4 linked regions of the Pelodiscus sinensis genome follow. The protein of the gene in region 3 interacts with the protein of the main gene of each other region in a pairwise test. Links are inferred from orthologs where the notes say so. Each region holds a gene or a part of one and is shown on either strand. Other genes may lie near its edges. The genes, in order: ASNS, IYD, TRIM69 and FKBP1B.

Region 1 (7,807 bases), on a different chromosome or scaffold from region 3:
CAGACCATCCGCATGCCCAACCCCTGCAGTACCTCCTACTTCTTTGTAGCAACTTTTGTACTTGAAAGCTGTTAAGTCCCTTCTTAGTCTTTTCTTTTCCAGATTAAACAAATCCATTTATTTCAATCTTCCTTCTAAGACATGTTTTCTGGAACTTTAATCATTTTTGTTACCGTACTCTGAACTTTTCCCAATTTGTCCACGTCTTTCCTGAAATGTGGCACCCAGAATTGGACACAATACTCCAGTTGAGGCCTAATCAACAAGGAGTAGAGCAGAAGAATTCTCATGACTTACTTACAATACACTCCTGCTAATGCATCTTAGAATGATGTTTGCGTTTTTTGCCACAGTGTTATGCTGCTGGCTCATATTTACCTATGACCACTCAATCCCTTCTGCAGTGCTCTTTCCTGGGCAATCATTTCCCACTATGTATGTTTGCAACTGATTGTTCCTTCCTAAGTGGACTATTTTGCATTTCTCCTTATTGAATTTCATCCTCTTTATCTTGGACCATTTCTCCAGCTTATTCAGAATCAGATCATTACCTAAAATATTAATGAGAATATTGAATAGAGGCCATTCCAAAAGTGATCCCAGAAGAACCCCACTCACACCCTTCCAATGATACCAACTGATAACTACCGAGAACAGTTATCCAACCACTTATGCACCCACCTTATAGATGGAGCTTATAGTAGCTCCATCTAGGTTGTATTTCCCTAGTTTGTTAATAACAATATCATGTGAGGCTATATCAAATGCTTTACTAAGGACTAGATATACCACATCTACCACTTTTCCTCTAGCCACAAGACTTGTTACCTTGTCAAAGAAAGCTATTAGGTTGGTTTGATGTGATTTGTTTTTGACAAATTCATGATGACTTACTTACCACCTTATCTTTTAGATGTTTGAAAACTAATTCCTTGATTATTTGCTCCATTACCTTTCTAGGTACAGAGGTTAAGATGATTGATCTATAATTCCATGGTTAGCCTTATTTCCCTTTTTATAGATGGGCACTATATTTGCCCTTTTCTAGTCTTCTGGAATCTGTCCTGTGTTCCATGACTTTTCAAATAGCTAAATGCTCAGATATCTCCTGAATCATCAACTTGAGTATTCTAAGATACATTTCAATAGGCCCTAGTGACTTGAAGACATCTAACTTTTCTAAGTTATTTTTAACTTGTTCTTTCCCTATTTTAGCTTCTGAACCTACCCCATTTTCATTGTCATTAACGTTGTTAGGTGTCCAATCACCACCAATATTCTTGGTGAAAACTGAAACAAAGTCATGAAGCACCTCTGTCATTTCCATATTTTCTGTTATTGTTTTTCCCTCTTCATCGAGGGCTTACCCTGCCTTTGGTCTTCCTCTAACTTCTAATGCCTCTGTAGAATATTTTCTTATTACCCTTTATGTTTCTAGCTAGTGAGAGCTCATTTTGTGCTTTGACCATTCTAATTTTGCCCCTACATATGTGGTATTGTTTATATTAATCATTTGTTATTTGACCTAGTTTTCACTTTCTGTAAAATTCGTTTTTGATTTTCAGATCATTCAAGAGCTCTTGGTTAAGTCAGATGGTCTCTTCCCAGACTTCCTATCTCTTCTATGCAGTGGACTAGTTTGCTCTTGTACCCTTAACAATGTATCTGAAAAACTGCCAACTGTCTTCAATTGTTTTTGCTCTTAGCCTTGCTTCCCATGAAATCTTACCTACCAATTCCCTAAGTTTTAATTGTCTACCTTCTTGAAATCCATTATCTTTATTTTACTGTTCTCTCTCCTACCAGTCCTTAAAACTCTATCATTTCATGATCACTTTCACCCAAGCTGCCTTCCACTTTCAAATTCTCAACCAGTTCCTCCCTATTTGTTCAAAATGAAATCTAGAACAGCCTCTCCCTTAGTAGTTTTCTCCATGTTCTGAAATAAAAAAAATGTCTCCAATACATAGAGCCCCGCAAATCCATGGATATCTGCTTTATATCTGCAGCTCACTTCTGCAGATATGTATGAGGATACACATTTTGTTTCTAGACCTCTTCATATTTGCCAGTATCTGCTTTATATCCTGCATCTCCACCTCTGCAGATTTCAGTGCCTATATCCACGGCTCATTATTGCAAATACAGATTTTGTATCCACACATTGGCTCTACCAATACATTCCAAGATCTTGTTGGATAATCTGTGCCCCCCATGTTATTTTCCCCAGGTATCTGGACAGTTGAAGTCCCCTATCACCATCATGTGCTTTGGATAATTTTGTTATTGGTTTATAAAAGGCCTCATCCACTTCTCCTTGTAAGTTGTCTGTAGTAGACCCCCTATCATGACATCATCCTTGTGTTTTTTAAACCCTATTAGCCTTTCCCTTGAGAAGTCTGTGTCTTATTTCCATCTCAGCCTCAATCCAAGTGTATACATATTTAATATATGGCAACACCTCATCTTTTTCTCTTGCCTGTCCTTCCTGAGCCAGCTGTACATACCAATATTCCAGACATGCGTATTATCCCACGTCTCTGAGATGCCAACGATGTCATAGTTAGGGATGTTAAAATGTAATTGGCTAACCATGTAACTGCTAAAAATGTCAGTGGTTACATGCTCCTGTCCACCACCCTGCTCCCAGGGAACTGACTGCTGCCCCATACTGCTACCTCTGATACAGAGGCAGCAGCACAGGGCAGCAGTCAGCTCCCCAGCAGCTGGCCGGGGTGCCGCTTGTAATAATTTGGCTAAGGCAGCATTTCCCAAACTATGGGCCGCGGCCCGCTACTGGGCCACGGGAAAAAAAATACTGGGCCTCAGCGTGCCTAGTGGCTGCCTGGAGGGGAGCAGAGCGGAGCAGGCTGGGAGGAGGTGGCGGGGCAGGAACCGGCCGCTGGGAAGCAGGGTTGGGGACAGCCGGGCTGTCCTGCGGAGATCCAGGCATGCGGCTGGCAGAAGCAGGATTGGGGGTAGCGGGGCTGTCCTGCGGAGATCGGGGAGGGCAGGTGGCAGAACCAGGGCTGGGCGGGGGAGATAAGGAGGAGGAAGAAGGGAGAACCAGCTGCTGGAAGCAAGGCTGAATGGGGGCAACAGGGCTGGTCGAGGAGGGTCGTCGGGGGAGTGGGGCCGACCGGGGGAGATTGGTGGGGAGCAGGGGGAACCGGCCACCGGAAGCAGGGCTGGATGGGGGCAGAAGGGCTGAACTGGGGAGATCGGGAGGAGAAGCGGGGGGGGGGAGGAAGCGGGCTAACGCTGGCACTGGGGGCTTTCGGAGGACCAGAAACAACTTATTTGAATATTCATCATTTGCTTAATGAATATGCAAATATATGTTCCTGGTTCTCCAAAAGCTCGTGAATGGATTTACTGGTCCCCATGTCAAAAAGTTTGGGAACCCCTGGGCTAAGGGATAAGCTCATCCTGCTCAGTTAGGCTACGTCTAGACTGCAAGCCTCTTTCGAAAAGCAAGCCGCTTTTTTGAAAGAGAGGACCCAGGCAGTCTGGCCGCTCTCTTTTGAAAAAGCCCTGTTTGCATTCAAGAACGCCTTTCTTCGAGCACTTTCGAAAAAAGGTGTTCTTCCTCGTGAAATTAGGTTTTCCGCCGTCGAAAGAAAAGCCGCGTTTAATTTCGAAAGAACGCGGCTGTAGTCTAGACGCCGGAGAAGTTTTTTCAAAAAAAGGCTACTTTTTTCAAAAAACCCTCGAGTCTGGACACAGCCTTACTGAATTAAACAGTATGTGGGAAGGGGAGTGCCTCTTCAGTTCCTTGTGGGGAGATTAACAGTCCCCTCACTCTGCCCGCCTTACCTGCAAGGATAGGAAACTTAGGAAACACACATCATAGTTGCATATACTAGCATTATGAATTCTTCTTGCTTATTCCCCACACATTTCACATTGTACACAGACATTTAAGATTCTGATTTCCTCTCCCCCATTTGTCTTCTCTCCCCTTCTCCCTGGCTCTGGCTTGAACACGTAGCCTCCCTGCGCTCCTCTCACCCGGAAACACCATTAGCTAACTATGCCCTCAGTAGCTCCATCTAGCAGGGACATTTAAGCGATCATTAATTTTTGATGCTACCGTTTTAGTATTTGTATTTAATCTGGTAGCAGCAGCAGAGTGTCTCTTTCCCCCGCTCCTAGCGCCCTATATTAACAGAGACTATGTGGAGAGGCAGCTGGCCCTTTAGCTCCTTATGGGCTGATTTACAGCCCCTTCCTGCCTTGCACTGCCTCGGGGATGAAAGAACTGGCTGGGCAGGGCTGGCCTAATCATGAGGGGAACTGAGGTGGCTGCCTCAGTTGCCAGACTGGGGGGGAAGGAAGCGAAGCACTACTAGGACCCAGAAAATTGTGTCTGCTGCTGGTGCATATGTATTCTCTCTGCTCTAGAGGCACAGAGATGGTGAAGTGCCACAAGAGGAGCAGAACTGGAAGAAGGCAGATTTGAGAATTTTCAAAGTTCTGGCCCGGGCATGGGGGCGTCATTTGAGCTTCCCGCTTCAGGTGCCAAAATGTTGTGGCCCAGCCCGTGGCAGCAGGGTAGGAAAAGAAAGAGACAATACAGCAGATGTGCGGGGAGCTCGGGCAGCGAGAGGGGGCGGAGCCCGGAAGGGCTGCGGCGAAGGGGGGGGGGGCCCGCATGATGAAACCTCGCTCGGTGTTTCAGCAGCAGCAGCAGCCGGACGGGAGGAGGAGCCAATTCCACCGGCAGGCCAGTGCCCGCGTCTGTCTGCGGAGCGTCGGACCCTCTGGAGCAGCAGCCTCTCTGCCTGGGGCCGCAGCGAGCCTCGCCCGGCGCTGGAGGCGGAGCAGAGGTAACGGGCCGGGAGGGCGGCGGCAGTTTGCGGTGCCCGGGGAGGGCGGGCCCCGCGTGGCTGGGCAGGAAGCGCGACCCCCTCCCCCCAGCTCCTTCCCGGTTGGGCCGGGGCGAGCTCCCCCGCTGGGCGCGCGAGGCACGTGGACTTGCTGCTTCTGCCCGCGGGCCCCGAGTCTCCAGACTCCGTCCCGGCTGGCGGCACGTGGCGGCGCTGCTGAGAGCCCACAGGAGCCGCTAACGGCGGAGGGCTCCCTTTGGCTAGGTGATGACGTAGAGGCAGCCCCAGCCCTGCCCCCTCCCCTTAAAGTTCGCGGGCGGAGGTCCCGATCCTGGGAGCGGGTTTGTGCGGGGCGAGCCCGGTGCCCACATGGACCCTCAGGCGCTGCAGCCCCGGTGAGGGAGAGGCTTCCTGACTCAGCGCTGGGCAAAGCGGCACTAAGGTTGCATCAGAGAAAAGAGACTTGCAGAATTGCATCAGGCCGGAAGAATTGAAGAAGGCAGCGCGTGTTCAGATTCTTGGGGACAGGATCTGACTCACATGAAATTGTACTCAATGAAATGGGCTTCCCACACAAACATTTTACTCCAGGGTTAAGAAAATCATAGAATCATAGAACTGGAAGAGACCTCAGAAGGTCAAGTCCAGCCCCCTGCTCTAGGCAGGACCAATCCCAACTAAATCAAAATGGAAAAGGTTGTCATGCGGCGTTAACCAGACAGTGCCAAATCTGGAGCTGGTTCATAAGTACAGGAGAGACTCAGAATACAATAGTCCTTCACATATTTACAGTAAATAGTGACTACTAAGTATAAATGGCAGAAGGAAAAATAAGTTAGTAAAGAAATCTACGCCAGCTTTAAGCTTCCGATGAATAAGCACATAGCTTACTACTAAAGAATTAAGGGTTTAAAAAAATCGCGTCAATTAAACTGAAAGTAGTTTTGAAGTAATTACACCTATCTCTGGGCCTGCCAGCCAGTTTTTATGGCTTGACAAATCTATGTCCCTATTTTGTGTTTACAACAAAGTTTCCTACCTTGGTGCTTAGTGAAGGCCACACACAATAGAGTAAATACAAAATAGTGAAAAAGCTCAATTGCCTATGCAGTCAGTTTTGTCTATAGGGATGTAAAATACCATTTAATCAGTTAACCTGTTAAATCTTAGGTTTAACTTATTAAATGGGATCCTGCCCCCACCCCCTTGTTCCTGCCTCACCCCCCTCCCATGCTGCTGCCTCTGTTAGAGGCAAGGGGGTGGTGAGGGGAGGCTACTGCCAAGCAGCGCCTGTCTCTGGTGGCTTGGGTTATGGGAAGGGGCTGCTGCTGGAGCAGATGGGCTGCTCAGGCTGGCCAGGAAGCCTGGCTTAATCCTGGCTTGCGCTGGGTGCGGGATGGACTCCTGCTGCTACTCTGCACTTGCCTGCCCTCCCGGATCTTACTACATTTAAACTACAGAGTCGCTGCGAGTGTAGCTCCTGGACTGTGCAAGCTGGGAGTGAGTGCTTTTTCCCTTATCGACTAATCATGTAGTCGATAAAAATTCTGTCAACTATATGATTAGCAAATTACCCTCCTCTTAACATCTTTAGTACATATGCAACCTTATGTGATCTAGTCCCGTCCATTGGAGAACTTGATTAAGTTTAATATCTAATTTCTATTGCAGTGTCTTGTTAGAAATTGTGAGGGATGTATTTCTTTTAGGGTTACCTCCTTGCTATAGCACAGTGGTGCCCAAACTTTTCCTTTTTTGATTTGTGAGAAACCCTCATGCCCCCTCCCCCCCCCCCCCAAATAGCAGGAAGGCTTGTTGAGCAAAAAGGAAATTGAAAAAGGAATTGACTGGGGCCAAAAAACAAAAATAGCAGCAAAACTTAGGGGAGGAGGGTGTTGATGGGGAGAGGGCTGGGTTGCCTCGCGTCCCCCTGGAATTTCTTCATGCCCCCCAGTTTGGGATCCCATGCTATAGCAGAAGTGGGGAATCTAAGGCCCCGGGGCTTGTCTGGATCCATCTCCTGAGGCTTGGGGATCCCCCACCCCAGCATTCAGGAATCAGAGCTAGTGTTCTAGCCTTCTATCCCCTGCAACCCTCCGTGGGGTTGGGACCCACAAAATCTGCTAGCTTAGGCCTTCCTAGGCTCTGGTGTGAGAGAGCAATGTGGGGAGTGTGTTCTCCTCAATCAGGGACCATGTCAGTGAGGGGTGTTTTTTTGTGCAGCCCTCAACTGATTTTTCTGTGGGTTAGCAGCCCCAGACTGAAAAAAGGTTCCCCACCCCAGAGCTACAGGAAAACATTAACAAATTTTCTTTGTTCTTTTTTTCTTTTCTTTTTGGCTAGAACAGTAGCTTTTAACAGGACTAATGGAAATGATGTTTTATTCCCACTCCTGACTATATCCGTTCAATCTATGATACTGTGCTGTAAATATGAGACTGTCTGTGTTCTGTAAGCAAGAAATAACCAACATACTCACAACACACATCTACCATATCTAAAATTGAGCTGAAACCTGATTTGTTGTCCTGTGAAAGCTTTGCTAATGTCCTCTTTCCGGGTTGTTGGCTTTTAATCAACCTTCTGTCAATAGGGCCTAAACCAAGTTGCTTTCTTCATAAGTCAGTACTTAATTATCTGTAGTCAAGAAATTTAAATATGCTTCCTAGGATCAGCAGTAGCTAAAGCATGTTGTATGATGACATATCTTTCTGTTAACAGGTTCTTCATTTTAAGTAGTTGAGAGTCAGCTCACAACCAATTTCAAAATGTGTGGTATCTGGGCCCTTTTTGGAAGTGATGAATGCCTTTCTGTTCAGTGTCTAAGTGCCATGAAAATAGCCCACCGAGGTCCTGATGCATTTCGTTTTGAAAACGTCAATGGCTTCACCAACTGTTGTTTTGGTTTCCATCGTCTTGCAATTGTTGATCAGTTATATGGCATGCAGCCTATTCGGGTGAAGAAGTTTCCATATTTA
Region 2 (8,339 bases), on a different chromosome or scaffold from region 3:
AGCGAATAAGAAAGCATTATTTATTCACTCTCATAACACAAATACAAACAGGTACCTTATCCACCGTAGCACTGGAGGAGCCCCCCAACCTTCCTACATTCTGGTCCCCCCTTATGTGTCCTTTCTCCCCAGGGTGCCAGGTCCATCCATTGCGAAGCTGGTGGTGTCTGTCCCCAGGGACAATGAAATATATAGGCAGCAGGTTTAAAACAAACAAGCAAGTGTGACTTCACACAATGCACAATACACCTGTGGAGCTCCTTGTCATAGGGTATTGTGAAGGCCAAAAGTATAACTGGCTTAAAAAAAGAATTAAATAACTTCATGGAGGATAGGTCCAGTGGCTTTTATCCAAGATCATCAGGGATGCATACTCTGGTGTCCCTAAACCTGTGACTATTGTTCTCTGTAAGCAGTGTGCTTGTGCAGCCACTTGAGAGATTTAAATGCCACCCAGCTGATTAGCAGAGCACCCACAGCTAGGTTTTTGTTTCTATTGGTAGTGCACATTTGCATGTGCTTTGGTGCACATAAAAATATATTCTGCACATGGATGGAAAAAATCTGCAAATAGATGGAAAAGACTGGAGGGAACATTGCCTGTGACTGCCAGAAGCTGGGACTGGATGACAGGGGATGGACCGCTCAATAATTGCCCTGTTTTGTTCATTCCCTCTAAAGCACCTAGCACTGGCTATTGTTGGAAGAGAGGATACTGGGCAAAATGGGCTGTTGTTCTGCCCTCATATGGAAAGATGGAGACTTCACGATGCTATTGTGAAGCTTTCTTAAAGGAAGTGGAATCGTTAAGTAGAAAGATGAGGGACATGCTCATCTTATGAAGAAGGTAGAGGAGAGGGGATGTGTTGAAGAGTTGCTGACTGGGACACATTTGCATAATTTCAGAACCTTGGATGAGTGCTGAAGGACTGCTCTGCTTTCACTTGAGGCCTCTAAACAACTATTGCTTATTATGCATATTTAACACATGTTTGAATTCATCTGCTTTGAAATAAAAGGCTATATCTGGTTCACTAAGCTTTTGTTTTCTTTTCATAGCAGAAAAATGAGCACATTTAACTTAATAAGAAATGGAAAAGAAATTACTCTGGGCAAGTGCTTGCAATATGAAGGTCAGTAGATTTCCAACCAGGTACTTATGGTCTCCAAAGTATCTGAGCACTTCTTGGGTATTTCAAAATAGAAAATTATAATAAGTCTTTCATCCTTCCCACCCTGTGGGCGAAACAGCTTGATTAGTTTTTAGTTGTGTGTGGGGAATGTTGCTTTTCCAAAAATGATATTTTTTTTTAACATTTATGACTGGTTAACAAAAATCACCAGTAGAAATTCAGGGTTTAGAGCATAAATGGTGACCATACAATTCTGGCACTGTCTGTTATGATGATGATTGTTATTTTATAGGTAAACTTTAGATTGAAGTAAACCTGTATTACATGCTATTAAAGAGACTAGGAAAATACAATTATTTTTTAAATTGACTGTCATCCCCCACCGATCCCTGAGTGCATGTTGGTGTTTACTGTTTGAATGTTTATGGATGGAGTTAATGAAACTAAATCAGATTTTAATAAACCGGGGCATTGTGGGAGTTCTGTCAGATTGAAGTTAACTGTCTTGCTATGATTATGGATTCTGCCTAAATTAACACTGAAGGGCATTTAATGCAATATGCGCTGTATTTCTCTGGTTTGCAAGGGAATAATAAATAAACCATTTCCTCAGAGAATGTCAAAATTGTTTTATGAGAAAGAGATGATGAAAAAATTCTCAGTATCAAAAACGTAATTCTTAAAAACATTACCATTCAACAGGTTATACTCTGCCTCTTTTTTCTTTATCACTAAACCTTTAGCTTGACTGCTTTCTCTGGGCACAGTACGCCAGTGATGGTCTCACTAATGCTACATGCAGCAGAGGTAATGCTTCCCTTCTGCTTCTAATGTGTATTTCTCTGTGTATACATTCAACAGTCACACTGGGAGCTCATCTTCAATTGATTGTCCCCATGACCCCAAATTGTTTATAGAGTTACTGCTTTCCTGAATATAGTCTACCATATTTAGTCTTTTTTAATTAATGTTTAATCATTAGCCATCTTAAATAGACATGATCAATTTTCAAAATCACATTTCCATTTGACAAGCTAATTTTGGAGCTGTTCTTATTACCAATAGCCCGAAGATTAATGTAACTGAAAGAAATTAGCAAGAGAGAGCACGAATGTTTCTCTTCCCCCCCGCCCAGTTGGTTTTTTCAGCGTATTGTGTGTAGCCAGCATTGCTGTTTTTCAATGGTACATGCCTTTCCCCATGACTTGGAAGAGAGTGTTTACCATTAACAGCAAAGCAGAGCAAAAAAATCAAGTGACATTAGGCAGAAAGAAGAAGTAGAGTGGAAACTCGTGGGATAGAGGTATCAAAGAATGTTTGAGTGGTGTTCTCTGGCCCATTCAAAGATTCTTCTGTATATCAATGTAGGAGAAGACCAACACTGAGCTTTTTTTTTTTTTTTTAAGAATTAAAAATAAATAAAAGGTACCTTAAAATCCACTTTCTGATGAAGTACCCTTCAAATAGTAAGCTGACAGTGTTCCTTTAAGAATGGCAAACTACTTAAAACAATCTGGAAGTAAAGCTGGGAGAAATGGGGGGAGGGGGAATAATTGCACAGAAAAATGGATCAACCCAAAAATATTCATAAATGAGACATGAGTTTTCCAAATAGAATCAACCCCCAAAATCTTTTTGGGGCATTTAGGTTATATCTACATTACCAGGTTATTTTGAAGTAAATTATTTAAAAAAATAATTCCCAAAATAACTATTTCAAAATAAGCTTATTCCTCCGAAATAACAGGATTGGTAGTGTGGACACTCACCTTGTTATCTCAAAATAAGGGGAGTTACTTTGAAATAATTCCCCCAGTGTAGACATGTCCTTAGATGCCATTCAGGGAAGTGGTGGTGCTCTCTCACTAGGAAATTATTTCAAAATAACTTATTTCAAAATAATAACTCCCAACATAACTATTTTGAAATAGTATGTCCACTCTACAGGGAAGCCTCGAAATTAGTCTGAGATAGGCTCCCTTATTGTGGATGTGCTACCTCAACTTAGAGCCCCAGGAAGCACTGGGGAGTAGTTTGCTGCTATTTTGAAACGAGGCGCATCCACACTACTGCTATTTTGAAATAACTTATTTCAAAACAAGTGTTATTCCTCGTGGAAAGTAGGAAATAATGAGCTTGGTAGTGTGGATGCTCTGCTTCAAAATTAGGGGAGTTATTTGGAAATAACTCCCTAGCGTAGACCAGGGCTTTGAGGTTAGCCCAGTAGTTCGGAATCTTACATGGGATAAAGTATCTGGTGGCCCAACAGAGGCTAATCCTGGTGAACCGCATACAACCCGTGGCCCACTTATTGCCCACTTGTGAGCTTGATAAATCAGACTGGAAGTAAGGCATAATTTTTTAAGTGAGTGCAATTAACCTTGGGAACAATTTATTAAGAGTCATGGTAGTCTCCATCAATGATTACTTTTAAAACAAGATTGGCTGGTTTCCTGAAAGATCTACTCTAGTAATTACTTTGGGGAAAATATATGGTCTGTGTTATACAGTAGATTAGACTAGATTGGGGTGAAGAACCTTTTTTGGGTTGGGGGCATTGACCCACAGAAAAATCAGTTGGGGGCCAAACAAACACAAAAACCCCTCACTGAGCTGGCCTCTAGGTGAAAAGGAGAAAAAGAAACCTGCACAGATGTGGTCCCCAACTTAAAAGCAGGGGGAAAAAAATACACTCTTCTCATTCCCTTGAAGCTCTAACCCCAGAGAAGGGGTATGGTGCTGAGGCTCAAGGCTTATCAGGGCAAAAATAATGCTTCTGGGGGTCCCAGGCCAGTAGATTTTGTGGGTTCCTCTAAGCTCTGGGATGAAAAATGAGGGGTTCAATGTGAAGGAGAAGGAACAGGTTGGGGGTGAAGGTTCAAGGTCTGGGGAGGAGGGAGGGTGCAGGAGTGGGATGAGGATTTCGTACAGGAGGGAAAATGCAGGAACAAACTTGGGTGATGTGGGGTCTAGAAGGAAGGGAGGGTTCAGAAGTGAGGTGGAGGTGTGTAGGGTGTGGGCAGGGGATTGGCAGCCTATCTGGTACAGTTCCCGGAGGGCATGGGTATCGGCAGAAATGCCCTCTCTGCAGGCTTCATCCCCCCCACACTGCTCCCATTGACTGAGATTCCTGGCCAATGGGAATGACAGTGGTGGTATCTGGAGAGAGACCCACAATTATGGCCCCAAATCCCGCAGGCTGGATCAAGGCAAATTGCAGGCTGGGTCATAGGTTCCCCACCATTGGACTAAATGATGACAAGAATCTCTTCTGGCCACAGAATCTATGAATTGGGAGAAGTATGCTTCTAGCCCTAAGGATTGTAATAAAATTGAAGCTGAAACACTGAAAACTAAACTCTCAGAAAGGAGATAAAACCTACAGATTATTTTAATCTCAATTTTTTGGGGTGGAGGCTGTCTTATAACTTTTTGCATGCTTGGGGTTTGCAATACTGAAATAAAACAAACAGAAGACAAGACCATAACACAGGTGTATATGGCTGGTGGAAGAGAGGGAAGGCGGGGGGGATATAGCTGCCTCCCCAGCTATGTAGGAATTGCATTGATAAATAAAAGAAAAATTGTAATTGGACTGGAGCTCATGTACCTCACTTTATTGGAAGTGGACAAATTTAGTCATGGCATACAACTGCTCATTCAAGTGATAGTCAGCAGTTTAACTCCAATTTAACTCTATCCCCCATATTAAATAAACTGATAAAGAAATACCTAAATAAAGTTGGCTTTGCCGCTGCACAAAATCAAAAGAAAGGTCATAGAAAACAAAATAAAGAGCAATTGTGATAGCACCAGGATTCCCACCATTCCCTAACTATGACACAAGCACTGCAAAGACATTGCTAAGAGCCTGGTGAGAGAGAGTTGAGATCCAGTAGTTTGAAAACTGACCGACTATGTCAGATTTTAAAGAGGGTGCCAGCAAATGAAGTATACTACAGAGCTGCAGCCACAAGGAGCATTTGCTTCTGGGAAAACAACAGAATTAGAGAGTTGAACTTTCCTCTCTCTCACTACATGTTTTGTTCCACCCCTTTTTGCTTATCAACCTCCAACCAACCCCCAGTTTCTTTCTCTTTGTAAAAGAAACTATCAGGGAAAGGGAGAGTATACCCTTCTAAATTAAACTGCAGGCCATGGAATTCTTTTCTCCCCTAACACCAGTCTTTGTAGCAATTATATGTGTTCTAATTGGCATAATACTGAAAAGCAACAGGAAAAGCAGCAAAAAAGGGAAGAGTGAGACTAAAAGTAAGTCTGAATCTCGCCCATGGGTTGATGACGACCTAAGAGACAGCACTGACCTTCATGTAGATGAAGAAGGTAAGGAAAATAGAATCCCACTAAGCATTTTTGTGTCTAATTTTCATCTGTCAGTATGAATAAGGAAGAAATGATCCTCTAAACTGAGACAGAGTTAGTCCGCACACACAACTTTGCAGCTACAGTGCACTGCAGTTCTTTAAGTCAGATCATCCAAACATAGTTAATACTGGGCAATAGGATTATCTTAAATAATTAATTGTGGGTAAGATTGCTTGCTCCTGCAGGAAAAAAATTGTAAAGGAGGTGGGGGTCAAAGAAGAGAAAATGCCCATTAATTCCTCTGCTGGAGTTTTATTCCCATACCTTTTACTGGGGGGTAGGTCTTGATCCCCAATGAAACAAGCTAATGGGCCAGCCTGCAATTCTCTAGATCCCTTTGGGTCATCAGATTTTGTAGCTAGTGTCTGATGCAGCATGCACCCCCTATGACAGGTTCCCATGCAAAAGAAAGCTTTAGGGATGTAGTGTCTTCTGAACCTGCTTTACTTGGGGTCTGAGGAAAGAGCAGGCAGATGCACTATCTCTATGGAAGAGGGCGATCTGAATATAGATCTTGGGACATGTGAATAGATGATCTCTGTATATAGATCTTGGGACATGTGAATAGATATACTCCGGACTGTATATATACATACATTATAACATTATGAGCATTGTTGTCATAATTGAAGCCAAATTTTGTCAGATCTGTTGGCTCATTTCCACCTGTTGTTTATGAAAGCATAAATATATAACATTTTTTAAAATAAAAATCTTCTTTAATTGTATAAGTGGCTCAACTGTTTAGTCGTAGTGCACACACAGCTTACATTGATACCCTTATGTTAGGACTGTAGGACTGGTATCTGCTTGGAAGTACAGAGATGGTCAGATTTTTCCAGAAATAGGCAGGCAGAGAATTTGAACCAACAAAATGTGGTATTGATTTCACACTGGGAGCCATTAGTGAAGGTTCCAGTACCTGTGTGGACTCACTCTCTGGTCTATCCTGATGCAGAATTGGTACATAAGTGAATATGCATACAAAATGTTCACTTTCTCCTTTGTGCTTTTTGAATGTATGTTTCTTCTTAAATTAATGCTGCAGATTTTTGCTCTCTCTAATTTTAGAGCTCTTTTAAAAACTCTCATTTGATGTAACAACTGTTTCAGTCACTATGGGTTTAAAGCTTTAAGTTTAGGATTTTATCTCATAATGATACATGCTGTCTCAGAGCCCACGTCTCCAGCTCTTCAAACTTCAACCACTTTTCTGCTCCTTTGCCTGTTGCTAATGCATATTACCTGTCTATTTGACAAACTTTTTAAAGTTTAATTTACTAGTATGTATATCCAAAATCTCAATAATGGAACCTCATTAAGTTATAAGTCACTGTTTCCTAAATTATCTATAACTTTTTACAATAATCACTTCATCTACCATATCCTCCTTACACAAAGTAAAACCTAATCCTCTACAAAATTAATAAAGTCCTCTCCCTTTATCATTTTATGCTTGAATTTTCTAATTAAACTGTGGCAAATTAAAATCCCTGTGGCTAATTAAAGTGATATGTGAATTCCCGGTGTGGCACTTTGGAGTGCGCATGGCTCCATCAGTTTAAAATGTACATTTTCTAAACGAGAAAAAACATTTTAAATCCTTCAAGAGGGGATTTAGTGCCAAAGTGTCATATTTAAAATGTTTTATATTTTTTACACTTTTACATGCTTCTCTTTTCTTTTTTTTTAAAAATACCAGTAATTTAAAATGGGTCAACTTAAAATATTGTTCAAAATATTCAGGTTAATTAAAATCAACTTTCATACACAACACATATTTTTGTCTTGTTACAAAAAGGAAGATTTTTAGATAACTGTCCTCTGCTTACTCTAACACAATAAACATCCACCCCGGTATTGCAGGATTTTTTCACTTTTGAACAACAAGCAATCACTCCTCTATGTACAGTACAGTTTAAAGTCCAATGTCTCTGGAAAACACGCACCTGTTTTTATCTCCAGAGAAGTTAAAAGAACAAAGATGTAACATTCTCTGAGAAAATTCTGCTCTGCTTCACATGGAAACCTGCATGACTTAGGTACAACTGAGATAAGAATATGGCTTTCCCTGTAGTGATTTATTGAGCTAATAATGCCATAATTAAAGGTCAGATCATACTCCCAAGTCGGTAGTAAAACTTACATTGACTATAAACTTTATTTTATTTAAATAACTTCACTCACTGACTTAGGCTCATTTCTACCTGAAATATCTCAGGTCTGACCTGTAGTTACAGGAGAATTTGTTTTGTGGAAAGTCTTAGCTGAATGGGACCAAGTAGTTCTAAGATTATGTCAACACTAGAAATTGCCCCGGTATAACTGTCCTAATATAGCTACTGCAGGTTAACTTCCCTAGAGTGGCTGCAGTGGTATCTGCATAAAGGTGTCTTAGACCAGTATAGCTATATTTATGCTGGTGCCCTGCCTACACTACAAATGATTTGCCAGTATAGATATATTAGCTGGACATGTATGCAGCATAATAACACAACCTCCTCAAATGACACTAGCTAAACTGACAGTCTCTCGTCCATCGACATAGCTGCATCTATGCTAGGTATTGTGCTGCTTCGCTATACAGGCAGTCCCCGAATTACGCAGATCCGACTTATGTTGGATCTGCAGTTACGAACGGGGTTTTTCTTGCCCCGGAGGACGGGAGCGGTGGGAGGCCCAGATGCGCCGCGGTCCTGCAGCCCGCGTCCTCCAGGGCGAGAAAAGCTGCTCCGCGTCTCCCTGGTCTGCTGGGGGGGGGGGGTAAGCCCCCCCAGCAGACCAGAGAGAATCTGAACAAAGCCGCGGAGCACGCGGGCA
Region 3 (7,683 bases):
AGCATTCCGCTCTTCAGACTCCTAAGAAAGTCAGATGGGGTGAGTATTTCACTGTATCTATTTTGTTCACATCCTCTGTCAGGAATTGCACATGGGATTTGGATTCTCTTGCTCCTGAGATCCTGCAGCCAAACTGTCCTGTTCATTGTATGGTTTAGGTGGGTTGGGCTTTAGGGAGCCCTTCAGGGTCCAGGGCAGCCAAGTCATGCTTCTTCACGGCAACGGGAAGTGGCAGTAACCTTCTCTGCTCCCCAAGCTGCAGGGCTGGGAGCTAGGCTGAAGGAGCACACTGGAGCGGGCTGGGGCCAGGTCACTCTGCTTCCTGCCACTGGCTTGAGTGCTGGGGGAGCGGGTGACCCCTGCTGCTGGTGCTAGCCCCTCTCTTCTCCCCCCCCCCACCATCTGGCTATCACCCCAAGCTCTCTCGCCTGAGTAAGGGGTGCAGTGGGTGGGGGCAGGACCTGCATGGGAAAAGGTGGGGCCTGGGTGGAGGGGGTGGCAGTCCCAGTGACCACACACCCCTAGGGATAGTCCAGTCCTACACTTGTCAGAGAAAGCAGGTAGTCTGTTTAGTCACAAATCTGGTGTATCCTAGGGTTGTTGGAGATCGTGCAATTGAACAGCCGTGTAACTGCATGAAATCTTAGGGGTTACACAACTATTGATGGTTGCTGGGGGTGGGGCTGGCAGCCAGTGTGCTTGTCATCTGGCGGCTGCTCCTTCTGTATCAGAAAACAGCACAAGGTGGCAGGTGAGACTGCTGAGCCAGCAGTTATGGAGAGCCTGCTTGAAAGCTGGCTCCCTGGGCGAATGGCTCCAGCCTGCTTACCTCACCCTCAGTACTGCTACCTCTCAATCAGAGGCAACTGCGCGGAGGGGAGGGGCAGGCAGGAGAGTCCAGTGGTTGTGTGGCGCTTTATTGAAACCAGCTCCCTGAGGGCACTGGCTCCTGCCTCCCCCGTCCCCCGGGTACAGGGAAGGGGTGAATGTAGTTGACAGTGCTTATCGGTTAATCGTATAGTCAACTACACATTGACATCCCTAGTGTCCCCCTCCCCCGTCGTTTTAAAATGTAATGTAATAGGGTGCGTTCCCCAAGTCTCGTCTCTGGGCACCTTTGGCCACCGGGCTCCAGTGGAACAGTCTCTAACTGCTAAAGAGAATGTGTACATTTAATACAATATATTGGAACATCAAGTAGCAGTGGAGGAAATGAGAGTAACTTGTAGAATTATTGGAGGTGCTGCTGCCAGGTCTGTAGAGGTACAGTAGTGCCGCTGTAGGGTTTCCCATGTAGGCGCTGTCCTGCTAACAAAACTAAACGACCCACGGTGAGCAGCATTAGCTATGTGAGCAACAGAGCCTCTCCTGTCTGTGATGGGTCGAATCACAAAAGTCCCCTTGAGTCTGCCGCCCAATATGCTGATCATACCACTGAGCCTGCCTACCTGCCCTCTATGGGACCCCAAGCCCCTGTATGGCTTTACCAGAAGCTTTGGTCTCCCCAAGCCAAGGCACAGAGTTGGGGTAACAGTCCCTGTGGAGAGCAGTATAGTCACTGAACCAGCTCACCTATAGCACTTTGGCAGCATCCAGGAGCACAGCACTCAGATGGTACTTAAACCCCCAAATAAATCTGCTTACTCTGTAGAAGCTTTACACAAGGAGCCTTATCAGTGAATGAGATGCATATCTCTGGCTCCCCCCTCCTCTGACAAGTTTACACTGGGCTTGATGATAAACACTTTTTTTACCAAGTATAAAAAGTAGGAATTAAGTGGTTGCAAGTGAAAACAGACAGATCAAAATATGTCACTAAGCTAAAATAAGCAGAACATGCCAGCTAACCCTAATACACAAAGAGGTCATTGCAGATCATAATTTTCACCCTCTTTATCTCAGATGCAATTCTTCACAAGCCAGAGTTGGTCTTTTGCTGGCTTGGGTCTAACAGCCACTTCTGTATCCTCCTGGGTAGGAAGGCAGTTTCAAAGGCCAGCTGAAGACCATTGATTGCTACCTTTTCCTTACTTTCCTGGTGTGGGAATCCTTTCTTTCTTTATTTCTCCGTCTGGCTGCTGGAGTGATAAGACCTCTCCCAGCGCTGCATTAGAATAGTTATGATTGGTAGGAGTGCTATTTGTGCAGCACAGCCTTGTCTTAGAAGTGGACTCTTAACATCCTTTGTCCTCTCTTGCAGACCCTGATAATTAACCTGCATCTTAGACGTATATGGTAAGTTTTGCATATTTAATTTGTTGCTCTCCAACTGATTTTGGCACTGGACTGATACGTGAGCTGAAGTTCAGGGATAGAAAGAAAACTTGCGCCACACTGAGGCAGAAAGGTAGAGAGGAGGAACAGGCAGCTCTATCTGTAGCTTAAGTGGTAGTTTAGAATTGTGGGTGGCCTATTATTCCATTTCTTAGCACTTGTAACAATATCATGCCCTTATGGAGACTTTTCATAAAGCTTATGACTTCACTTGACCCTTGGGAAGAAGGGTTCATTGTACAGTCACCAGACTGCCTGGTGTTTTTTCTTGGTGGATGTGGAGAGGTGGATTTGCCATTTGGCAGTCTTTATGGTCTAGCTGTGCCTCCTGAGAGGCTGGCTAATAGTGTATTAGGGTTAGAGGGACAGAAGTCACTGTAAGGCATCCTTTGTGTGTCTGCAGGCAGTCTCTTGCCTGGCAGTGCTGAAGCAACTTAGTGTTAGTAAATGGCTACAAATGGCTTTATGTGCAGCACCAGCAAATGCAGTGCACCCAGTGAGCAGGTAAGGGGTGAAGCTTCCGTTGTGGTGCTTGAACTATTTCAAAAGCTTTGGCATAGAATAGAATAACCCTTTGCAGGTGCAGCTGCCCTTGGGATCTAAAGCCTAGAGCTGCTGGGATTTGCACTGGTTTGCGGCTGGGATCTTGGAGCCAGGTTCTCCCTTAGCTTATGTTACAATAAAGAATAGGCATTTTTTAAATTAATAATCTTCCCTGCCCCTCCTCCTTTTCAGGTCTGAGGAACTCTGCCTTGCAATATGAAAAGCGCTTACACCCGATCTGTTTTCCTGCGTGCTCTTCACACCCCACTCTCACTTTGTACTGGAGCTGAATGTTTTAGCTTTATGATGATTTGTCTGGGAGTGAGATGTGGAGTTAAAAACTTTAGTGTGAAATGTTAGATGTGGGTCTGAAGCTCAGACTCATGAGCTGGCCTTGCACCCACATTCTCAGTGCTTTCTGCTGGGGGGAGGGGGGAAGGGGAGGGAACCTTTGTGTTATCTGATGGACATGCTATAGAATCATAGTATTTACACATATAAACCAATCTTGTGTTGGGCAGTCTGGCAGCTGTGCTGCAGCCACTTTAAACTGGCAGTTATAAAGGAAATTGTAAATGTGGCTCAGCCTTAAGCAAGATCCATGGGTCTTGTAATCCGCCCATGGTGTGCTCATGATATTAATCAAGAATTTGAATTGCAAAATTGGAAGATTTTTGTCTTTCCTGTAGCGTCAGAATATAAGAGCCCTAACAAGGTCCCTGGAGGCAGCAACAGTCCTAGCCAGTTATGGAGTATTGAGGTCTACCAGGGTCTGGGTGCAGCATGTTGCCAGAGGCATTTGGGGGGGCAATAATGACACTTTCAAGAACTCTTGGCTACAGCATTCCTTTTTACAAATGCCAATCAATAAAACTATTGCCAGTTGCATACACTGATTTATTGCGTTAAGTCTAAATTTTGTGGACAACCTAGTCCTAGATGGATCTGTTCTGCTAATTGAAGAGTGTAACGCTTTGTATGGTTCTTAATTGTATATAATGATACTTTAATGATACTTAAATATATTTTAAAACAATCAATCCTGTGGAAGTTGTGGTTTCTGAAAATGGAGAGGGCATTTCTTGCCTCACATTGAGTACAGCAGGGGGTGTGGAGTATCTATTAATGGCCTTGCTGTAAGCGGGACTGCTCAAATCTGTTTCCCCTTGCTGGTAAAGGTAAAAGTAGGCAGTTTTGTTCCTAATCCATATACTCAGTGAGTTCTGAGACTTCCCTTCAAGTCCTGTGTAGCTCTGCTCAAAGTACAAATCCTTTGCTTTTCCCTCTGAACCAACTGTGTTTGAAGGCAAATGCTCTGTTTGACCGATGAACCACACTGAATGAAGTGATAGACAAGAATGGTCTCTGAAGTCAGTGTGTGTGAAGTGGAATTCCTGGGGGGTGAATGGAAATGCCATCTGAAGGTTGGGCTTAAAAAAAAAAAACATTGACTTTATGCCCTGAGGAGGGGGTACCATTGTCCCTGGATTATCTGACCCTGAAGGCTGGACCTCAGACCCAAGCTGTGCAAAACAGGGTGATCTGGGTTAAGGTTCATAATAGCCTCAGCTGGGAGGGACTGCAACTGAAGCCTTGTGGGGGGTGGGGGGACACAGCAAGGTAGGGTGGATCTCCAGTTTTCCTACCATACATGTAGGTTCTTTTATTTGTTCTGTAGTGCTCATACCTTAAGACTAAATGTGCTTGCTTAGAATGTGCTGTGGTAACTTCACTGGACATGTAACTACTTGATCACCTGAGGAGAGCGCAAGCACCAGCACCAACTTTTTTGAAATAGTCTGTCTTGCTGAGGAAGGAACTGTGCAGCCTGGAAAACCCCTTCTTGGGAGGGGAAGAATTGCTTGTAGACTTTTCTGGCACTTTGAGCCTTGCTGGGTGAAGAACACAACTCCTTTAGCATTTAATTAAAAAAGAATCTGAAATGACAAGCTTCCATGCATAAGCTTACATTAAGGTCTGTACTGATTTGGTCTTTCAAAATAGCAAAATATTTAAACAGCTGGGAAAAATGAAACTAGATGGGTGAAGTTCAGTTTCTCTAAGTTTCATTCAAGTTTCACAAAACTGCCTCTTGCTTGAAGAGATCCTGCTCCTTTGCAAGTTACCTGCCAACTTAGGTGTTCTCACAAGTGTACTTGTGCTGTAGAAAGGCAGGATGATCCAAGGTTCCTTTCACCTGAAATTGACAGAGCAGTTGGCAGCAAAAACTTGACTGGAATCCACTTCTGAATTGTTCTCTGGAGTTCAGGTATGTCAAGAAACAAGCTGAAAGGAATGGTGCACAAACAGAAGTTCTAGCTCCACCAGAACTCTTGGCTTGAAGGGGAAATCACTGGGTGAACTGTACCTGTTATGATTATGGAAGTGTCTTAAAGAGCAAGTGTCCAATATAGAACTACTTGGAGGCCAGGTTGGAGCCCAGGATTCATAGGCAACTTCTTATCTTTCTTCCCCCCCCCCCCCCCCCCCCCCAAGGTTCTGTGCTGAAATACAGGGTTTGCTCAGAGGTTCTCTAATTACACAGCTTTAACCGCAGGCTGTGTAATACCTCCTTTTCTAAAAACACAGGAATCAAGACAAGCTGGCATATTCTAGTTGCCTTGGAATTTATCTGTAGTTTAAAACACAAGGGTATCAAATTATTCATCCTTGCTATTTTAGGCAGTTGGAAAAGTAGAACAGAATGAGAGTAATAACTTGCTTTACTAGACAGTTTCCAATCCCTTTCCTGCATTGTTACTCATGAGTGGAAGGTGGCACTGTGTGGGTAGCAAAAACGAGGGAGCTACTAGGTCTTTACTAAAACTCTATGCTTTGGAAGGTGAAACAAAAAATCCACTGCATTGTTATTAATTATGTACTGGAAGTTCACCTTTAACCTTTATTATGCAAGTAGTAAGTATCATTACATTATTACCACTGCCTGACTCTATTGCTACAACCTACCTATTCTCCCTAGGTTCCTGTGACCTCATGGACTTGCACCAAGCAGCTAATGTTTGCACAGCACGCTTGGGGTATGTTTGTACTGCAGTGTTATTTCAGAATAGTGGATGTTCTAAAATAAAGCGCATCTACACAGCAAGCTGTTACTTGGACATAATGTCAAGCTGGAGGAGTTTTTACTCCAACACTTGTAACCCTCATCTCATGAGGAGTAAGGGATGTTGAAGGGAGAGTGTTCTTTGACTTCTTGTTGTGTAGAGCATGCTGAAATCCAAATGAAGCTGTTTCCACTTCAGCTATGGGATTGATGTAGCTGAAGTTGCGTAGCTTAATTTGACTTTTGCCCTGCTGTGTAGACATGCCCTAAGATTGTATCTACCCATTTGCTTTCTCCACTGACTAGCAGAGCTCCCAGGAGGAGTCCCAGATTCAGCAAAATTCTCCTTCTTTGACCTTTCCTCCGACCCTCCTGTCCTTGAGGGCTGCTGCCCCATAGGGCTTGACTCCCCTCCAGCACTGCAAAGGGACCCTTTCGCACAAGGTCGCAGTGGGTGGTCAGCTTTGGTCTGGCCTGCAGGTGTGTGCCCTCGGCTACATTTGAGTGCCATTGTGACCTGGTGTATGGGGGCAGTGGTCCAGAGCTGTAACCTGCGTGGTAGCTAGGCCGGGTCACAATGTCCAGGGTGGAGAGCTGAGCCTGCCAACTCCTTGGGCTAGGAGTTGCTGCTGTGGGGTGAGTATGGGGCTAGCTTCCTTGTCAGTTTCCCTCTGCCAGGGAGATAGGACCCATCCCAGGCTAACCACATGAAGTGTTGGGCAGTGTGGGCTAGTGCTGAGAGTTGTTGCCTCTGGGCTACAGAAACCTAAGCAATTGGAACGCTTTCATCCAGGACAGCTCTGCTGGGCAAGGGGCCATCCTGGGAAAACCTGGCTGGGGGAACCCTCCTCTTGCTGGTCCTGTTCTCTAGAACCTTTCCCTGCGGGGAGAGAGCTAAGTAACTGTCATTCTACTGCCCCCCCCCCCCCCCCCCCCCAACTAACTGACCTCCTCTGAGAAACCTCCCCTGTACTCCAGGCCCCTCTCTGCACACCACCGGTCTGCTTTGGAATCACACCCGGACAGCACCTGCCTCTGGCTGCCACCCTCTTGCAGCATCTGGGGAACAACCTGCCCCGTGTTGCACTTACCCACATGTAAAACCCTCCCTGTGCCGTTTCCTGGGGCGGCGCTCGCTACGGCCAGAGCTGGTGCCGTGACAGCTGCCTTGTTTCACGTCTCCCAAGTCTCTGTCAGACACGGGCCTGGTCCCAACCTCGCCGAGAGCCAAAGCCACTTAGGGTAACGCTCCCTAGGTTCGATGGGCCTAGTCCCTAGGGTTTGCTGAAGCCAATCACCTTGGGGTGGATCTCCCCCGAGACAGGGGGCCTGGACTCATGGAGATCTATCCACCACCTTGCTGAGGGGGTGGGTGGGGACAGCGTTGGTGCTATATCTCGGGGGCAGGGTTTCTCCCACGGAAGAGCAGGATGTGGGGGCAGGCCGAGTACCCTGAGGTGCCTTGAAGATGTGTGAGATAGAAGCACCCTGGGGTGAGTCTTCAGTACAGCTGCTGCCTTCAGTCTGCCAGTGCCTTCCTCCAGCCAGTGCGCCCTGTGCCCCGCTGCTGTTCCCTGCCGCTTGGTGTGTGGTGTGCCACTGTGGGTGAGGCAGCCTGTGCCTGCCTTCCCCTTTGCTCTGGGACTACCAAGCCACGGTACAGGCTGCTGGCAGACGGAGGGTTTCCTATCTGGCTGCACAGCCTGGGGCTTGCATCTAGCTGGGGGCAGGCCCTGGGCAAGAGAGGGGCTATCCAACTCCCTCTCCACAGTGCTGGAGGAAGAGGAAGCTCCTCCAGAGGA
Region 4 (8,130 bases), on a different chromosome or scaffold from region 3:
GCCAACCTGTAGAGGCAGAACATCATGGAGTACCTGAAGGGATCTCCACAGGACTGGGGAGAAGAGGACTAAGCCATAGAGAAGGTACTTCTTTTCCCACACCCAGCAGTGAACCTGGGCTCAGACTCTCTGGCTATGTCTACAAAGCATGGTTCCCCCTTTACTAACTTCTTCCCAACCAGGGATTGCCCTATCCAATCACTCTCCCAACTAAAGCTATGTCTAGACTACTCTGCTGCATACAGGGAACGCATCTGCTCTTTTTTTTTTTTTTTTTTTTTTGGAAGAGCAGATGTGCTTTTTTGGAGGCCCTGTCTTCCTCCTTCCACGAGGAAGAAGAGCTTTTCCAAAAGAGGAGTGTAGATGGGTCATATTTCGAAAAAGCCTCTTCTGAAAAACTGTGTGTACCTTTTTCTGATAGATCATTGTAGTCTAGACATAGCCTAACAGACCCCCATTCATTTCCTCCCTCACCATATATCATTCCCCAGCCCTCCCTCTTGGAAACACCAAGCAAATTGTCCAATGAGTACTCCATACTTTCCTTTGACAATAAAACTTCTCCACCCATCACAGGAAGGAACATTTGCTGAGGGTGATCTGTATTCAGACGTGGAATAGTCTCTTAAGGCATATGGTGGGATTCTACTGCTTGGAACAGTTAAAATTGGACTGGGCAGAGGCCTACTAGGAAACATATTTTGGGAAGAATCCTGTTTTGGCAAAGAAAGAGGTTTGAATGATCTAATGGATCTTCTCCTTCTCTGACTCATCATTCATTGGCCAAATTATTCCTGATTTTAGTGATTGACTCTCACTTAGGTTGTTATTAATAAAAAAAAATTCTAACTTTTTGTTGGCTTTGAGTAAGAATGGAAATTTACTTACTGTGAAGTCATTGAACACACCACATTATCAAATAATTAGAGGCATTTTGCATTGCTAAATGTTCTTTGTTACAGTTTTCACGCTCAGTTAGATCACTCTCATTTGAAAATCCATTGTGACTTGTAAAAGAGAGAAGAGGTTAATGACATTTCTAGCAGAATAATTATACCGTTTTGATGACAAACAGTTACTGAACTTTCTAAACATCACTTAGACAACCTTGTCTTCACTGTAACCATTTACATTTGGAAAATTATTTACTGTTAGCAGGGTGCATGCACAAATTTAAATTTTACTGCTTTTGGAGGGCACATTTTGTGGCCCCTTGGCAATCCCAGGGCTGGAGGAGCTATCAGGTCCCACTTTGGCTATGGGGCCATATGATCTTGCTCTCCCCACCATGGCCCTGGGGCCAGAAAAGTTCTGTGCTCCCACTGATTATTAGAGGATCCACACTCCTGCTTGTCCCCCTTCTGCACACCTAATTGTTGGCAAGGCGTGTCAGACACTGGGACATGACCAAGTAGGTGTTGAAAACAGTTTGGCTGATAGTGCAGATAGGACAAAACCCATTATAGAAATTGAGGAAGATGGCAAGTTCCATCAGGAATGAAGAAGATGTTTTGTCTCTGTCTGTTCTAGCAGTTAAACCATATTCAATACTGGCTGAGAACTGTCTGAGGAATCCAGGATCCATTTTCAACCAGTCATTTTCCCAGTGTAGTGAATAGAAGAGAAGGGTGTTTAAAATATGCTTTGGTTTCTGTAGCAAGTGATGACCAAACCTGAGATTCTGTGTACAGTTTTAGGGAAATCTTCCACCACTGTATGGGTATTTTCTCTCTGGTGTTAGCAATAGTGGGAGTAATCATGTAGCCTGGATGCCTGTATTTTTGCCATTATTCCATTTAGACTTGCTCCATGCATGGCAAATGATATTAAAAATGGCCAATCTATTCTCATACTTCTGCTGTCATCGATAGAGCCATTGATAGAGCCATCATCCCACTGATACAGCAATAGTAAGAGATTTTTCAGATAAATCTCAGTATAGATACATTCTGACTATATTTTGCTGCATAGGACTGTGACTTTGGGAAATGTGGATATCATTCATTTTCCCTTTTAACTTTCAGGCTCCGTTCCACAGAGGGATCATACTATTAATACTGAAATACTGCTGTAAGTTAGTGCACATAATTTTTTTTAGTAGAGCACACTGAAAAAGCATCATCACACTGCATCATGTACTTGGGCTGGTGCGGCGCAGTGCACAATGGATATGCGAAACTGTCGTGGGTTGGAGTGGCCACCCACTGATCCGAAGGGAGAAAACGCCCCTCCCTGAGCCATGGTGGGCTCACTTGGATGACTCACCTTGGAGGAAGCCGAGGTTGGGGCCAGGGATATAAAAGGCCTTCCCGCAAGGCCAGTTGGGGACCTGCCAGCGAGGGAGTCAGAAGCCTTCTCTCTCCAGCCAGCAAGGGAGCCAGAGGCCTGCTCGTCCCAGACAGCTGGGGAGCCAGAAGCCTGCTTAGCTCAACCCAACCCAGCAAGGAACCGGACCTGGGGAAAGCATATGGCTGGCCAGGGCCACCGGGCGCCCTCCTGGAGGATTACCTGGAGGGCCTGCGTATCTGGCTGGAGGACTCCAACCCGTGCTGTCCTGAAGACCTGCCCCAACTAAAGGTACCATATGGGGGAGGGGACAAACAGAGCCGGCCCAGGGATAGCCAACCGTGGTCTGGCTGAAGGTCAGCAGGCTGCGGCGTGGACCCCCGCTGACCCTGACATAACAGGTCAGTGTGTTTTGGGCCGGGATCCCTGCTGACCCAGCAGCTGACTGCTTGACTGCTGTTAGGGCTCTGGGCTGGGACGCACTGGTGCAGGGAGAGCCCGCGTCCCCCTTACCACTGCTTGATTGGGTGGCAGTCTCCCCTCCTGCGGTTGGCAGCCCTAGGCAAGGTGCCTGAACCCCTCCTGAACAAGGAGGCAGACTACTTACCAGCACCTACTGGTTGTGAACCGGTGGGATTGCTTTGTGTGAAGCCCTTGCCCTGCCCAAGGGCTGGGCCTCTAGCCATTTAATTGTTGCCTGTTTAACTGTGCTAGCCTCCCCTGTGTTTGGGCTGGCTTCCTAACTGGTTAATGACTGTAGACCCGCCCTGCACTAGGGCCAGAGACTGCTTGGCTATAGCAGTGTCGCCCTGGACCAGGACCGGGCTACAGACTACTAGATTGCTGCAGCCCTGCCTTGCCCTGCCCTTGGGTGGGCCCATAAACTGCAAGAGCAGTAGCTCCGCTTAGAACTGGGGCTCAGACTGGAACTGTGGGTAGTGGGTTGGAGTAGCCACCCACTGACCCTGAGGGGGACACCCCTCATTATCTGGGGCGTACCCCACCGGGCTACAGAAACCATGAATACTGAATCCTCAAATAGCGAGGGCTCCTTGTAATACCTATAGGCAACATCAGAACCCCTATGGAAATATTATTGACCCTTGGGGACTGTTTTGACAGATATATACCGATTAAGATAAACTACAAAGACAGATGTCAAATGTCAGACCTGTACAGACTGGACGCAGAGGGACACACTTCCTCCTATTAAAAAACAAAAAAGATCAGACCATTTCCCACAACCAAAGAGAATTGTCAGCAAAATTATTCCCTAAGGCTACGTCTGCACAGCAGACTTCTTGCGCAAGAGCACGTCCACACCTCAAAGCTCATCACAAAAGTGATGGATGCTCCATGGACACTCTTGTGCAAGAAAGCTCTGATGGCCACTCAGAGAATGGCCATCAGAGCACCTGTGCTTTTTCCCATAGGGGTTTCTGGCGCCAGTTATTTTGCGCAATAGCCATAGCACAAAAGGGAGTTATGCCTCATAGAAGGAGGTTTACCTACACCGGCAAAAGTCCTCTGTTCTGCCATTTTACTGCTGATTTACTTGAGCAAAAATGCATTTGAGGTGTGGACGCTCCGCAGGTTTTTGTGCAAAATCAGCCATTTTTGCACAAAAACCTCGCAGTGTAGACATAGCCTAAGAGTTGATGGAAATAGATTCATACAGATTCTCGTAGGAGGAAAGACGTTTGAGACACAAATATCTGAAATATGTGTGTCTTACACTGTATTACAACTTTTAATCCAACATGATGGGAACAATTAACCATTAAAAGCAGCTTTTCTTTAATTAATTAATTAATAGATATTGTAGTGCATATTTCGCCCCCCCCCCCCCCCCCAACAAGGAAGTATAAACACTTCTACGGCATGCAGCCTAGAGATGTGGGAAGCATCATTCCAATCTAGCCTTTGTGCTGTAAGGATTCCAGGCCTTGCTCTCCCTGTCGCTCCCCCTGTCTCCAGAAGCCCCTGGGCACATGTGGCACATCTCACAAGCATAACTGATGGAGTTGGGAGCAGCTCAAACTCCACCGCCCGTGAGAGGACACAGAAGTGAATTAGAAGCAGTGGGCAGTGGGGACACAATGGTGACACAGACGCTCATTAGCAGGAAGAGAGCTGGCGCTTGTTGTACCACACACCAAAACTGGGTCTGGTACCACTGGACTGGGGACTACTGAGCTGGTATCAGCTGCCTTGAAGGAAGCAATGCATCCTTCTGGACAGCCCGCATAGCTTACTCCCCAGCACATAGGGATGCAATTTCTGCAAAGCTATTGAAGGAGCATATGCGGTGTGAGGAAGCAGCAAGCCCTTGCTGGGAGGGAATAGCACTGAAGTGCCAAATCCTTAAATGTTTCCAGCAGCAGCAAATCCCAGCGAACTACAGCCTGAGAGGCCTGCCCCTCCTCCCCCAACTCCCAGCCCTGGGAGGGACCGGCCTTTCCTGTGCAGCAGAGAAGGGGGATTGGGTGACAGCGTAGGGAGCTCCCCCCCCGTCCCAGCTTTTGCATTGGCTGGCAGCGTGTGACGGGCAGCTGCGGTGCTCCTTGTCAGTCAGCTCGGCAGGGGAATGCATGCAGCAGAGGGTCCGTGGCGTGGGGTAGTGCCCAGCTGAGCACAGAGGGTGGCCCAAGCAGCCGCGAGAATTGCTCGGTCTCTGCCGCAGACCAGCCGTGCAATAATGGGAGTGGAAATTGAGACCATCTCCCCTGGAGACGGTAGGGACCTGCTCGCTCTCGTGAGGGGTGCTGACCGGGGTGCTCGCCGCGGCACGCGGCGCGAGCCGGAGACAATGCAGACCCAGGGCGTCGGGGGGCGGGGAGGGGAGTCAAGGGGAGCGCGGGTGCCGCCGCCTGAGAGAAATGTGAGAGGAGGGAGTCCGGTTTTTCTGGGCACCAGAAGAGGAAGGAGTCTGGGGTCCTGCAGCCCCAGGGGCTCTGGACTCCAAAGATAATCAGAGACCAGATGAAGGGGAACCTAGGGTCCAGCAGCTGAAGAAGAAATCAAAGACTGCAGGGAAAGAAGGGTGTGTGTGGGGGTGACATTCCTAGGATGGGGGGCGGGAAGCCTGAGGGTCTGGTGGGGAAAGTCTCCTGGATCAGAAGCACACGAGGAAAGGGGACCAGGTTCTCTGGGATTCATAGGCTGCGGTGTCTGCTGCTCCTTTGGTGGCAGCAGCAGAGGTAGCGAATGGTTTGGGACATTTAAATGGCATTTGCTGACAGCTGCATAAATCCAAGTGCAGGGAAGTAATTTGGTAATGAGAGCAAATGATAGTCCAGAGCACACCCCCTTAAAATGTGAGCCTTAGCACTCAGCAGCTAAAGCAAGTTCACTTCCGAAGCGCATTCTGGACCAGACATTATTGGAGCAGTAGCAGCAAGACAGTTAATTTCTGTAGAGAGAGGGTGGAAATCAACATAATAAATGATTGCTGATTAGCGTGTGTGGCTGTGGCAAAAGCTGGCATTTAACACGCACGGTAACAAAGTTTCACAGATGTATTGCCAAATCGTTTCATGAACAGTAGGCCATTTATGTCAAGAATCATTTCACACGGAAGCAGCATTTTGACCGGATCAGCTATTTTCTCCCCCATTTTAAATGTTGTTATTGCACCTGTAACACTTGTAATGGCTCCAGATTAGTGAGTGTATTAATCTTTGATTTTTATGGGCTTGGTTTTTTCAAATCAAAATAATAGCTACTCTGCTTTGGTGTTAGAGCATCTTCCCCTAACTCTTGAAGACAGATGTCATTACCAGGGATCATAGTTTTTGTGATAAAACTCCCAGAAGTTCCTGATTTAAAAAAAAACCCATTACAATCCTTGTGATTTTTTTTTCTCTGTGATTAAAATAAAATGCTGAGCTTGAGTTTCCCCTGGGGTTCCACTAGACATGTTTTTATTTTTTTTCCACAAAATGTAAAAACTATAGATTCTCTGTAGAAACACAAATGTTGCATTTTCTCACATTGTTCTGTGGCAAACAGATTTCTGGGATCTTTGATCATTACTAATATAGAGCCATACGTATCTATGTTATGGCCCAAATTCATCCTTGGCTTAACTCTGTTGGACCAACATCATTTCCCACCCCTTGCCTATGTCTCTTAACTGTCTTCTCCCTCTACTGTTGTTTAGCTGTGTGGGTCAGATTCTGCTCTCACTTGTAGTGCTGTAAATTCAGAGTAACTCCACTGTTATTCTATCGTAAGTGTTAGTGAGGGCAGAATTTAGCCTTCTCATTTTCTTAATTATCTCTAGAATGTATTGGGATATGGTGCATAAGAAAGATGCTCTTTAAAATAAAGTTATAAATGTGATTTGGCCTGGTTGCAAAGCTTAATCCAATCCAATAGATTTAAATAGTGTAATTAAAACCAAAACCAGTAAGTTCTATTGCCATCAAATCCACTCAGAAGTTGATTTGTTATAGTGACTAGTTGAAGGTCTTAACATCATTGGGCCTAATTCAGCCTTGGTATAAGATAATGTGTCTCCATGGATTTGGTGGTATTACACCAATTTATGCCAGGGTGGAATATGAGCCACTGATGACTTGTATCATACTCTTTTTTATCTCTTTCCACATTGAATGATATGGATTGTATTTGCATCATATTTGGCGGTAGGGATGTGAAAGTAGTGCTTACTGAGCTCAGGGCCCCACAGTGCTAGGCTTTCTACAGACACACAGAGTATTTTTACACTGCAGCGTCAGCATAAGCCCAGGAGTAGTTGGATTTGAATTCACAGACCCTGGCTTTGAAAGCTCAGGGTTTGAGCATCCACACTCATCCGTGACTTTTAACTTAAAAATTTTTGACCCTGGGCCCCACACCAGGGCTCCAGTACCACCAAGACAACCTAAACCTCCAAGTGGAACCAATCATATCCCAGGCTACCTAGCACACTCCTCAAATGTGTCCACTCTCTGGCTGTCTGTGGCACATCATGGGAAAACTTGACTGTCCATCCGACTTATCACAGGAAGTTGTTGCAGCCCACCAACGCATTCTGCTGATCCATCTGTTTGGTCTACATGCTCCCAACAATCGGAACCAGGAACATGGAGTCATCATTGGAAGAACTTCTCTTGCTTGCTTTTGCTCCTGTTTCAGGAACTGGGGAGAGCTTTCATGAGATGCTGGGGGACATTTTGGTGGCATTTTCTGATCCACTGAAGTCACCTGACAGAGCTAATGATGGAAGAGGAGGATGATATAGACATGGAAAACTCAAACTAGCTGATGCACCTCATGACTTTTAGTATTTCTGCTCGTGCCCTCTGCATAGACCAGTAATTCTGGAGCAGGACCACAAGCACAGACTGATAGGATCACATTGTCATGCAACTTTGAATCATAGAACTAGAAGGGACCTTGCGAAGTCCTCGAATCCAGTCCCTTGTCCTCATGGCAGGACCAAGCACTGTCTAGATTAGAGACCATCCTTGATAGATGTTTATCTAACGTGCTCTTAAATATCTCCAGAGATGGAGATTCCACTACCTCCTTAAGCAGCTTATTCCAGTGTTTAACCACCCTGACAGTTAGGAAGCTTTTCCTAATGTTCAACCTAAACCTCACTTGCTGCAATTTAAGCCCATTGCTTCATGTCCTATGATCAGTGATTCAGGAGAATAATTTTTCTCCCTCCTCCTTACAACATCCTTGTAGATTCTTGAAAGCTGCTATCATGTTTCCTCTCAGTCTTCTCTTTTCCAGACTGAAGAAACCCATTTATTTCAGTCTTCCATTATACATCATGTTTTCTAGACCTTTAATAATTTTTGTTGCACTTCTCTGGACCCTCTCCAGTTT

What was found.
Region 1: the proteins of TRIM69 (region 3) and ASNS interact in binary tests that used the Homo sapiens proteins (3 or more experiments, as listed by UniProt). The two-hybrid records come from large-scale screens. The link is inferred for Pelodiscus sinensis from reciprocal best matches to the Homo sapiens genes TRIM69 and ASNS.
Region 2: the proteins of TRIM69 (region 3) and IYD interact in binary tests that used the Homo sapiens proteins (3 or more experiments, as listed by UniProt). The two-hybrid records come from large-scale screens. The link is inferred for Pelodiscus sinensis from reciprocal best matches to the Homo sapiens genes TRIM69 and IYD.
Region 4: the proteins of TRIM69 (region 3) and FKBP1B interact in binary tests that used the Homo sapiens proteins (3 or more experiments, as listed by UniProt). The two-hybrid records come from large-scale screens. The link is inferred for Pelodiscus sinensis from reciprocal best matches to the Homo sapiens genes TRIM69 and FKBP1B.

The regions. Positions count from the first base shown.
Region 1 is NC_134712.1:209,898,986-209,906,792, forward strand, and holds the start of ASNS (asparagine synthetase [glutamine-hydrolyzing]), read left to right. Parts: upstream 1-4,670; 5' UTR 4,671-4,829; intron 4,830-7,550; 5' UTR 7,551-7,597; coding exon 7,598-7,807.
Region 2 is NC_134713.1:106,746,358-106,754,696, forward strand, and holds the start of IYD (iodotyrosine deiodinase 1), read left to right. Parts: upstream 1-5,208; 5' UTR 5,209-5,290; coding exon 5,291-5,477; intron 5,478-8,339. UniProt on the Homo sapiens protein: Catalyzes the dehalogenation of halotyrosines such as 3-bromo-L-tyrosine, 3-chloro-L-tyrosine, 3-iodo-L-tyrosine and 3,5-diiodo-L-tyrosine.
Region 3 is NC_134724.1:36,834,029-36,841,711, forward strand, and holds the start of TRIM69 (E3 ubiquitin-protein ligase TRIM69), read left to right. Parts: upstream 1-4,001; 5' UTR 4,002-6,517; intron 6,518-7,683. Other genes in the region: B2M (beta-2-microglobulin), read left to right, coding at 1-39, 2,201-2,214.
Region 4 is NC_134713.1:14,537,532-14,545,661, reverse strand, and holds the start of FKBP1B (peptidyl-prolyl cis-trans isomerase FKBP1B), read left to right. Parts: upstream 1-4,786; 5' UTR 4,787-4,984; coding exon 4,985-5,021; intron 5,022-8,130. UniProt on the Homo sapiens protein: Has the potential to contribute to the immunosuppressive and toxic effects of FK506 and rapamycin. PPIases accelerate the folding of proteins. It catalyzes the cis-trans isomerization of proline imidic peptide bonds in oligopeptides.